2 linked regions of the Callithrix jacchus genome follow. The protein of the gene in region 1 interacts with the protein of each later gene in a pairwise test. Links are inferred from orthologs where the notes say so. Each region holds a gene or a part of one and is shown in the gene's direction. Other genes may lie near its edges.

The links. The genes of interacting proteins can lie anywhere in the genome.
Region 2: the proteins of TNPO2 (region 1) and CAMK2D interact in binary tests that used the Homo sapiens proteins (3 or more experiments, as listed by UniProt). The two-hybrid records come from large-scale screens. The link is inferred for Callithrix jacchus from reciprocal best matches to the Homo sapiens genes TNPO2 and CAMK2D.

Annotation. Positions count from the first base shown.
Region 1 is NC_133523.1:11,532,685-11,537,064, reverse strand, and holds part of TNPO2 (transportin-2), read left to right. Parts: intron 1-3,736; coding exon 3,737-3,843; intron 3,844-3,929; coding exon 3,930-4,063; intron 4,064-4,144; coding exon 4,145-4,226; intron 4,227-4,299; coding exon 4,300-4,380. UniProt on the Homo sapiens protein: Probably functions in nuclear protein import as nuclear transport receptor. Serves as receptor for nuclear localization signals (NLS) in cargo substrates.
Region 2 is NC_133504.1:83,419,649-83,424,740, forward strand, and holds the start of CAMK2D (calcium/calmodulin-dependent protein kinase type II subunit delta), read left to right. Parts: upstream 1-1,613; 5' UTR 1,614-1,838; coding exon 1,839-2,007; intron 2,008-2,139; exon of another isoform or gene 2,140-2,781; coding exon 2,782-2,869; intron 2,870-4,450; coding exon 4,451-4,545; intron 4,546-5,092. UniProt on the Homo sapiens protein: Calcium/calmodulin-dependent protein kinase involved in the regulation of Ca(2+) homeostatis and excitation-contraction coupling (ECC) in heart by targeting ion channels, transporters and accessory proteins involved in Ca(2+) influx into the myocyte, Ca(2+) release from the sarcoplasmic reticulum (SR), SR Ca(2+) uptake and Na(+) and K(+) channel transport.

The DNA of each region.
Region 1 (4,380 bases):
CTAGGAGGCGGAAGTTGCAGTGAGCCAAGACTGTACCACTGCACTCTAGCCTAGGTGACAGAGATTCCATCTCAAAAAAAAGAGTGACGGGCCGGGCGCGGTGGCTCACGCCTGTAATCCCAGCACTTTGGGAGGCCGAGGTGGGTGGATCACGAGGTCAAGAGATCGAGACCATCCTGGTCAACATGGTGAAACCCCGTCTCTACTAAAAATACAAAAAAAAATTAGCTGAGCATGGTGGTGCGTGCCTGTAACCCCAGCTACTCAGGAGGCTGAGGCAGGAGAAGTGCCTGAACCCAGGAGGTGGAGGTTGCGGTGAGCCGAGATCGTGCCATTGGACTCCAGCCTGGGTAACAAGAGTGAAACTCCGTCTCAAAAAAAAAAAAAAGAGTGACTTTTATTCCTGCAAAAACCCCTTCCCTGGCCACCAGAAGGATCTGGACTTTCTGAGCTCATTCTAGGTGCCAGGCACTGGGCTAAGTCATTGAAACTTCCTGATAATCAGGCCGGGCGCTCACGTCTATAATCCCAGCCCCTTGGGAGGCTGAGGTGGGTGGATCACCTGAAGTCGGGAGTTCGAGACCAGCCTGGCCTACATGGCAAAACTCCATCTCTACTAAAAGTACAAAAATTCACTGGGCATCGTGGTGTGCGCCTGTAATCCCAGCTGCTCAGGAGGCTGAGGCTTGAGAATCACCTGAACGCCGGAGGTGGAGGTTGCGGTGAGCCAAGATCGTGCCACTGCACTCTGGCCTGGATAACAGAGTGAGACTCGTCTCAAAAAAAAAAGCAAAAGAAAAGAAAAGAAAGAAACTTACTGCTAACCTTAGGAGGGTGGTTTTCTTGATCTCTTCTGAGGGCTGAAAGCACTGAGGCACAGATAATGAGGTGATGTGGCTGAGCTGAAGTTACACAGTCCTCAGTGGGTACCTACCCACCGCAGGGAGCACCTTTTTGCCATTTAGTTTCCACCTTTGGGAAACACTGCCATCTCCTGGCAGCAAATGTCTTCTCTGTACTTCACAGAATCCATTTCTGTCACCAGATTTGTGCACTGCCCTGCCCTGGCACCTCAGATGCTTGCTGTATGTAACTCCTGGATGGCTAATAGGCAGTACAAACCGTCCCTGCCACTTTCTTGCCCTTACCTCCTTTCCCTCTTCCCTCCGCCCAGTCTCTGCCCAGCCCCAGTGGCTCCTCACTCGTCTCTTAGCACACCACGCCTGTCCTCACCCCAGGCCTTTGCACCGTAGATTCCCCTGCCTGAGATGCCCTTTCCCAGGAACATGGATGATTCCTCCCAGACCTCCTTCACCTCCTTCAGGTCTTGGTTCAGATATCAAGATGTCACCTTAACAAGGCCTGCTCTGGCCACCCAATCTAAAGTTGCTACCTTCACCTACAGTCCTTTCTCACCATCTTTTCTGCTGTGTTACCCCTCTTAGTCCTTGGCATGTGGCCCCTCTCAGTTCTCTTTTTTTTTTTTGAGACGGAGTTTCACTCTTGTTACCCAGACTGGAGTGCAATGGCACAATCGCGGCTCACCGCAACCTCCGCCTTCTGGGTTCAAGCAATTCTCCTACCTCAGCCTCCTGAGTAGCTGGGACTACAGGCGTGCACCACCATGCCCAGCTAATTTTTGTGTTTTTAGTAGAGATGGGGTTTCACCATGTTGACCAGGATGGTCTCGATCTCTTGACCTCATGATCCACCCGCTTTGGCCTCCCAAAGCCGAAGGCACATGCCACCATGCCCAACTAATTTTTTTTTTTTTTGACATGAAGCTTCACTCTGTCACCCAGGCTAGAGTGCAGTGGCACAATCTTGGCTCAACGCAACTTTCATCTCCGAGATTCAAGCAGTTCTCCTGCCTCAGCCTACTGAGTAGTTGGGACTACAGGCAAGTGCCACCACACCTGGCTCACTTTTTGTATTTTTAGTAGTGCTGGGATTATAGGCATGAGCCACCACGCCCGGCCCTCTTTTTTTTTTTTTTGACATAGGGTCTTGCTCCATTTCAGGCTGGAGTATAGTGGCATGATCTTCACTTTAAACGATTCTCCTGCCTCAGCCTCTTGAATAGCTGGGATTACTGGCGTCCCCCACCATACCTGGCTAATTTTTGTATTTCTAGTAGAGATGGGGTTTCGCCATGTTGGCCAGGCTGGTCTTGAACTCCTGACCACCCACCTGGGCTCCCAAAGTTCTGGGATTACAGGTGTGAGCCACTGTGCCCATCCTCTCCCAGTTTTTTGGCTAATTTTTTACTTCATGGCTTGCTTCCCACTTCCAGGGGTGGGGGTTTTGTGTTTTGCTCTGGGCTGCGCCTCAGGACCTGGAACGGAGTTGGCTCACAGTAAGGCTCAGGGTGCTCACTGAGTCAAAGAGCACCCTTTCTACCTATGTCAAGGGAAGGAGCAGTCGCTAATGCCTGTAATTCCAGTGGTTTTAGAGGCTGAGGCAGGAGAATTGCTCGAGGCCAGGAGTTTTAGGCCATCCTGGAGAACGTAGCGAGATCCCATCTCTACAAAAATTTTAAAAAATTGGTCGGGTGGTTGGCCGGCTGCAGTGGCTCACGCCTGTAATCCCAGCACTTTGGGAGGCCGAGGCAGGTGGATCACAAGGTCAAGAGATCGAGACCATCCTGGCCAAGATGGTGATACCCCATCTCTGCTAAAAATACAGAAATTAGCCAGGCGTGCTGGCAAGTGCCTGTAGTCCCAGCTACTCAAGAGGCTGAGGCAGGAGAATTGCTTGAACTGGGGAGGTGGAGGTTGCAGTGAGCTGAGATCGTGCCGCTGCACTCCAGAGTGAGACTCTGTCTCAAAAAAAAATTAGGCGGGTGATACTTGGGAGTGGTGCCTCACACCTGTAATCCCAGCACTTTGGGCAGCTGAGGCAGGTGGATCACCTGAGGTTGGGAGTTCAAGACCAGCCTGACCAACATGGAGAAACCCTGTCTCTACTAAAAAATACAAAAAAGTTAGCTGGGTGTGCTGGCACATGCCTGTAATCCCAGCTACTTGGGAGGCTGAGGCAGCAGAATTGCTTGAACCCTGGAGGTGGCAGTTGTGGTACGCCGAGATCGCACCACTGCATTCTAGCCTGGGCAACAGGAGCGAAACCTCGTCTCAAACAAAATAAAACAAAACAAAAAAAATCCAGGTGCAGTGGCTCACACCTGTAATCCTAGCACTTTGGGAGTCCTAGGCCACATCAGGAGATTGAGACCATCCTGGCTAACGTGATGAAACTCTGTCTCTACTAAAAATACAAAAAATGAGCCAGGTGTGGTGGCACTTGCCTGTAGTCCCAACTACTCAGTAGGCTGAGGCAGGAGAACTGCTTGAATCTCGGAGGTGAAAGTTGTGTTGAGCCAAGATTGTGCCATTGCACTCTAGCCTGGGTGACAGAGTGAAGCTTCATGTCAAAAAAAAAAAATTAGTTGGGCATGGTGGTATGTGCCTGCAGTCCCAGCTACTCAGGAGGCTGAGGTGGGAAGATGGTTTGAGGCCAGGAGTTTGAGGCTGCTGTGAACTGTGATTATGCCACAGCACTCTAGCCTGGGCAACAGAGCAAACTCTTAATCTCTTAAAAAAAAAAAATGAGAGAGGGATATATAGGGCATACATGGGCTAGGGGACAGAAAGGCAGCTCTGGGGGTGCCCAGTGGGAGAGGGAGGTGCCGGGCAGCCCCCGCCCAGCCTCAGGCAGCGTCCTTTCCCGGCCGCCGCAGGGATTCTCATCACCACCATCGCTTCCAAGGGTGAGCTGCAGATGTGGCCTGAGCTGCTGCCGCAGCTGTGCAACCTGCTCAACTCAGAGGATTACAACACCTGTGAGGTGGGTGAGAAGCCATGGATGGCCAGAGCGGGTATGGGGGGCCCGGACCACCACCCACCTCTGTCTCTCTGTCCCTCTGCACTCAGGGAGCCTTTGGAGCCCTGCAGAAGATCTGCGAAGACTCATCAGAGCTTCTGGACAGCGATGCCCTCAACAGGCCCCTCAACATCATGATCCCCAAGTTCCTACAGTTCTTTAAGCACTGCAGTCCCAAGATCCGGTGGGTACAGCTTCCTGGGGGCTTCCAGGGAGCCTGGAGTGGGCAGAGTCAGGGGTGACCCCTGTGTCTGCTCCCCGCCAGGTCCCATGCCATCGCCTGTGTGAACCAGTTCATCATGGACCGGGCCCAGGCGCTGATGGACAATATCGACACCTTCATCGAGGTGGGCCGCTGGGCTGGGGGTGGGCAGGGCAAGGACCCAGGACCCTTGCAGCTGACCCTGTTCCTCCCTGCAGCACCTATTTGCCCTGGCTGTGGACGATGACCCTGAGGTGCGAAAGAATGTGTGCCGCGCCCTGGTGATGCTTCTGGAAGTG
Region 2 (5,092 bases), on another chromosome or scaffold:
AATGTACATTATTATCTAATAATATATCAGTATTAAAATTCAGTTATGTTTTCTTTATTGTACTGCACAATTAAAACCATTTACAATTATTGGTAGTTTAAATAACAGATAAATACTGTAATTATGTAGATATCATTACTTGAATATTTAAGAAACAATTTTCTTCCCTGATGTAAACTTTTTATTATCTTTATTTATTGTTTCAATTTTACTTTCTCTGTTTCATTTTTAGATTCAAGAAGGAATATTATTTCATTATCATTTTGGAGCCAATTGGTAAACAGTTCAGATATTAAAAATCTTTAGCCATGACCAAATTGCTCTTTTCTTTCCAATTTATAGACGAATTATTAATATTTAGAGACCAGGTTTCTTTTACACAGTTTTGGTATCATCGTTTTCTATAGCACTACAGTTGCTTCCCTTTTATGGCTGGAAATCAAAACACATACGAACTTCAATTTTGTTGTAATAAACGTTAAAATTTGTGAACATTTTTAGTACTTCAGTAAAAGCTTAGTCATTGGCAGAAGTGTCCCTCAGATCAGGAAATAAAGGAATTGGGATTATCTGTGACCACAAAGTAACATTAATTAAGAGCAGTCTCTGGGAGTACACAACAGCGCCTCTAAATCTTAGATTCTCTTGTATCTGCAAGTTATCTTTTATCTTTCAGCAGTGAAATTTTAAGTCCATGAAGTAATAAGACGAGCAAATTAGCATTAGGATTGCAAGGTTTTTATAGTTGCGTGGTATAGAACAAAAGGCAATAATTTGAAAAAGATCTTCCATAACGCTGTTTTCGGTCTGCATCTAAATTTGTAACTGCATAGTTTTATTAAAGAGAACTGGAGAGAGGGCCCAGAAGTTGTTCTAGCAATCGGCAATAACTTATCTACTTTAAACGTAATGCATACTTTTTTCCCTCCTACTTAAAACAATGGCAGATATGCTAAAGGGAAGGACACATTCTTGAACTGCTAAGTGGTTTTTCAGATAGCCATTTACGGAGTGCACTCAATTGCCACTATCTGGCCGAAAGCAAAGCACACACAACCTCTTCTTTTCCTTTTCCCTTTGCAAAGCGAAACAGGCTAGACATGTTCACGTGATGTGAATTACGTCAGCCCCCACCGAGTCGCGTGACCGACACCCAACCTTCCTACTACCTCGCCCCGTCAGCCAGAGTGGGAAATCTCGCGAGAACCCGTCTTACTATCAGAACTTACTGAGGTTACTGGGGAGTTACTCAGAAGGGAAGGGAAGAGAAGGTGTGGTTGAGTGGCGGAGTTTTTGCTTTCGTTCTTTTAACGTTCACACCCAAAGCAAAGACCTTTGGGGACTGCCAGGGTCTCAGCCACCATCCTGGAAAACAGCGGGGGAGGTGGGCCTGGAGGTGGCAGTCAAATCTTAAGTGAAATGTGGCTCAGGGCCGTCACTGCTCCTTGCAGAAGGGGCTGCGGGGGAGGGAGAAAACCTGCGCCCGGCGCTGGGGAGCGGGCGACGCAGTGAACGCTGCTGAGGCAGAGTTGCGCCCCGACAGTCGCCGGAGGCTGTGGGAAGGGTTGGGACCTTCTCTGAGAGCAAGGTACTGCCCACATCCGGTCCCCGCTGTGTCAACACTGAGCGGCGCGGAGAAGCCGTTGCTCTCCCTTACTCGGCCACGCCGAGGGTCGTGGCCCGGTAGCTGGCCTGGAGAAGTCCCTGCTGCCTAGCGCCCAAAACAGGGGCGTGAGCTTCCATGACCCTGGGCGGCGGCCTCGGGCCGTGCTCGAGTTGCCCCGCATCTTTATACTCAGTCAGTCCCAGATTGAGGAGGCTTCTGGGAGCGGGTTGAAATGGGCAACTGTGACGTCTCGCCTCATTCACCCAAACCTCCAGGCTTCTCCCCCGCACATCCTCCTCCATCCACCTGGTTTCTCCCTAGACGGGTGTGCTCGTGTGTGCGACCGAAGGAGGGAGAGCGAGAGATCCACGAAGGGACAGGCTTGGAGTCGCTAGAGGGAGGTGTGGTACCAGCGAGGAGGGGGCTTCGCCTGTGAGGGGTGCTGGCAGGCGGAGGGAGCGGCGGGAGGAGGCGCCGGGGGAGGAGACGGAGGCCTGGGGACGGCAGAGGAGGCTTCGCCCGAGCCGAGCGCTGTTTCTCTTGCCGCGCCGTCTTGAAGCCGCGCGGGCTCGTGAGCAGCGCGAGGCCGCCAAGGTGCTTGGCTTCGCCGGAGCCGCTGCTGCCCACTGACGGGAAGCCGGTCCTGGGCGCGCACGCTCTCCCGAGCTCCGGCGCGCTCCGCGCCTGAGCTTGCTGACAGCTGCCGCTGGGCTCCGGCTGTCCGCTCCGGGCTCCACGGCCTCGGCCCTGCTGCACTCCCCCTCCGCCCCCTCGGACTCCCTCCCCTCGCTTCTGCCCCTCCTGCCCCAGTGCGGATCGTTTCGCAACCGCTCGCCACTCGCCCCGTGCCCGGCTGTTTTTCCATATCCCGGCCCCCTCTTCTTGAGTACTTTACCCCCTGCATTTGGGGACAGGGACTGGAAGGAAAAGGGGCTGGTGGACCGTCCAGTGGAGAAGGCCCGCAGGAGGAGGCGGAGGATCGGCGGACCGTGGGGAGGAGACCCCACGCCACCCTTTCTGGTCATCTCTCCTCCCGCCCCGCCCCTGCGCACACTCCCTCGCGGGCGAGCTACTTTCGGACTAGGAAAGTAAGGGCGGCCCTGGGTGACAGCGCCGCGGGGCCAGTCCCGGGGTTAGCCGCGTGTCTGCTCTCTTCTCCCCCGTCGCACTCTCAGCCAGGGCACAGTCCGGACCGAGGATGGCTTCGACCACAACCTGCACCAGGTTCACGGACGAGTATCAGCTTTTCGAGGAGCTTGGAAAGTAAGCGCCTTTGCTCGGCATCTGCACGTCCCCTTTCCAGCTGAGGGCGGGTCGCGTTGCCCAGACCCACGGGCCTCCGTTGTGGGGCGAGGGAGTTTGGGAGAGGAGTGGGAGGAGGGCCCCTGGTTTGTCAGCTCTGGGGAAGGTGCTTAGTGAGGGGAGGGAGCACAGAAGGGGTAGGATCCTTACCCTGACTATGGCTCATTTTAATAGTCCCTAGCCCACCTTCTCCCGCTCCCCCACCCTCCTGCACTGAGAGACTTGGTGAATTTACGATCTCTGCAGTTGTAGCTGTCATCCTGAGAAGTGTGCGCGCGCGCCTGTGTGTAATATGTGTTTGGAGAGGAAATTAGAACCCATGTAAAATGCAACATAGATCATGTTTTCTGTAAATAGGGATGCCTCCTGGTTAGCCGGTGTGTGGGCTGTATGACCCACCTACTGATGAGAACTCACAGCCTCAGACGGTGCCATATTTATTGATGCCGAAAGTTCTACTTGGCATAGAGTCTATTTCGCATCCAGTAGTTGTTCTGTCCAGGAAAAGGGCCACCCAACAGGACCAGCCCCTTGCCCTATAGCCACTGTTATTCTTTGCACCAGATTACTCGCTCACCATCATTCTTCCTAGGAATTGCGTGTGCATCTTTGCATTCTCTAGGATTTATTTATATAGGCAGCGGAAAAGCCCTCTGGTGACTGAGAGCGCTCTTAAGAGTAGCCTAGCATTGTGTAAAGCCACTCCTTCACTTGACTGGCAGAACTATTTGGAGGTGTTAGGGAAGGAGACAGGAGACCCTACTGAGGACTTGTGCAAAGGAACCTAGGGGCCAAGCCGAGAATGCTGATTTTTGTAGCGTCGAACCCAAACCCAATTTCTCTTTCACTAATTTCGACTGTTACTTTTATAAAAGGAGTGCGTTTATATGTATGTTGTTGGTTTATACTGTAATTAAAGGAAAGGTAAATATTTTTTAAAGGTAATGAAAATTATATATGTATATATTGTCTGCTGTTAAAACATGGAGAATATGTCGGAAGAGCAGCTTAATTCAAATATCTCCCTTCCCCCAGAGCAAAACAAGGCATAGAGAAATCACTATACCAAGACTCGTTAAACCACACTAATGTGCTCAAGATTTATATTTTACTGAAAATAATCGCCATGTTGACTTATTTGGAACCACATTAATTTTTGTTTCCTACCAAAACAAGTAGGCAGCAGATATTTTTGCGGCTCCTCCTCTGCTCTATTCTGGGCAGGGTTTTTCTCAGAGCATTTGGTGCTGTGAGTGTGAACTGTAAAATATTTTCAGATTTCATGTGCAAACAAGAACGGTCATAATTGGCAGTTCCTTTCATTTTGTTGATTAATAATGTGTGCTCCCAGTGAAATGAAATTTACTTTTATTCTTCAACATTAAAGAAAGTATGGGTTTCCAGGAAGAATTGTTCATTTACTGGATATCACTGTACTTCACTGACAACACACTAAAATACATTAAAATGCTCAGATTTTATACATTTTTAATGGAATATTATATCTGTTATATTAATGACCTGCTAATTATTGGTTTCCAGGGGGGCATTCTCAGTGGTGAGAAGATGTATGAAAATTCCTACTGGACAAGAATATGCTGCCAAAATTATCAACACCAAAAAGCTTTCTGCTAGGGGTGGGTATTTTCAACCACATATATTGGTTAATTTTGTATTTGTGATGTTGATTATAGGTTATGTTGTATGTAAATATATCATGTAATTATAACAGAATTTTAGACTTAGGTATCATATTACATATTGAGATTATTTCCTTCCTGAATCCCTCTTGGTCTGCACAGTTTAAAAATAAATGGACAGATATAATTATTATTTGATGCATTGCTATTAAAATTGTATCTGTCCTATGAGCAATGGCATGAATAACTATTTTAAAGCAAATATGTGTCACTTAAGTGTACTTTGCTTATAGTTCTAGAATAAATTAACTTTTAGAAGGACCATGAAATGGAAAAATGTAAGTCTCACAACTGTCATAATTCCCTTTTGCTTTTGAGAGGAAAATAGGTCATAGCTCAGTTGAATCATATATTTCAATTGTAGTTACACTTGAACTTAATTTATCAAGGTATATTTAACAGTAATAGCTTAGGGAAGAAAAAATTTATGATTGCTATGTTCTAGGAAGTTTAGTTTTATTTTGATGTTCCTGTGTGCAGCTCA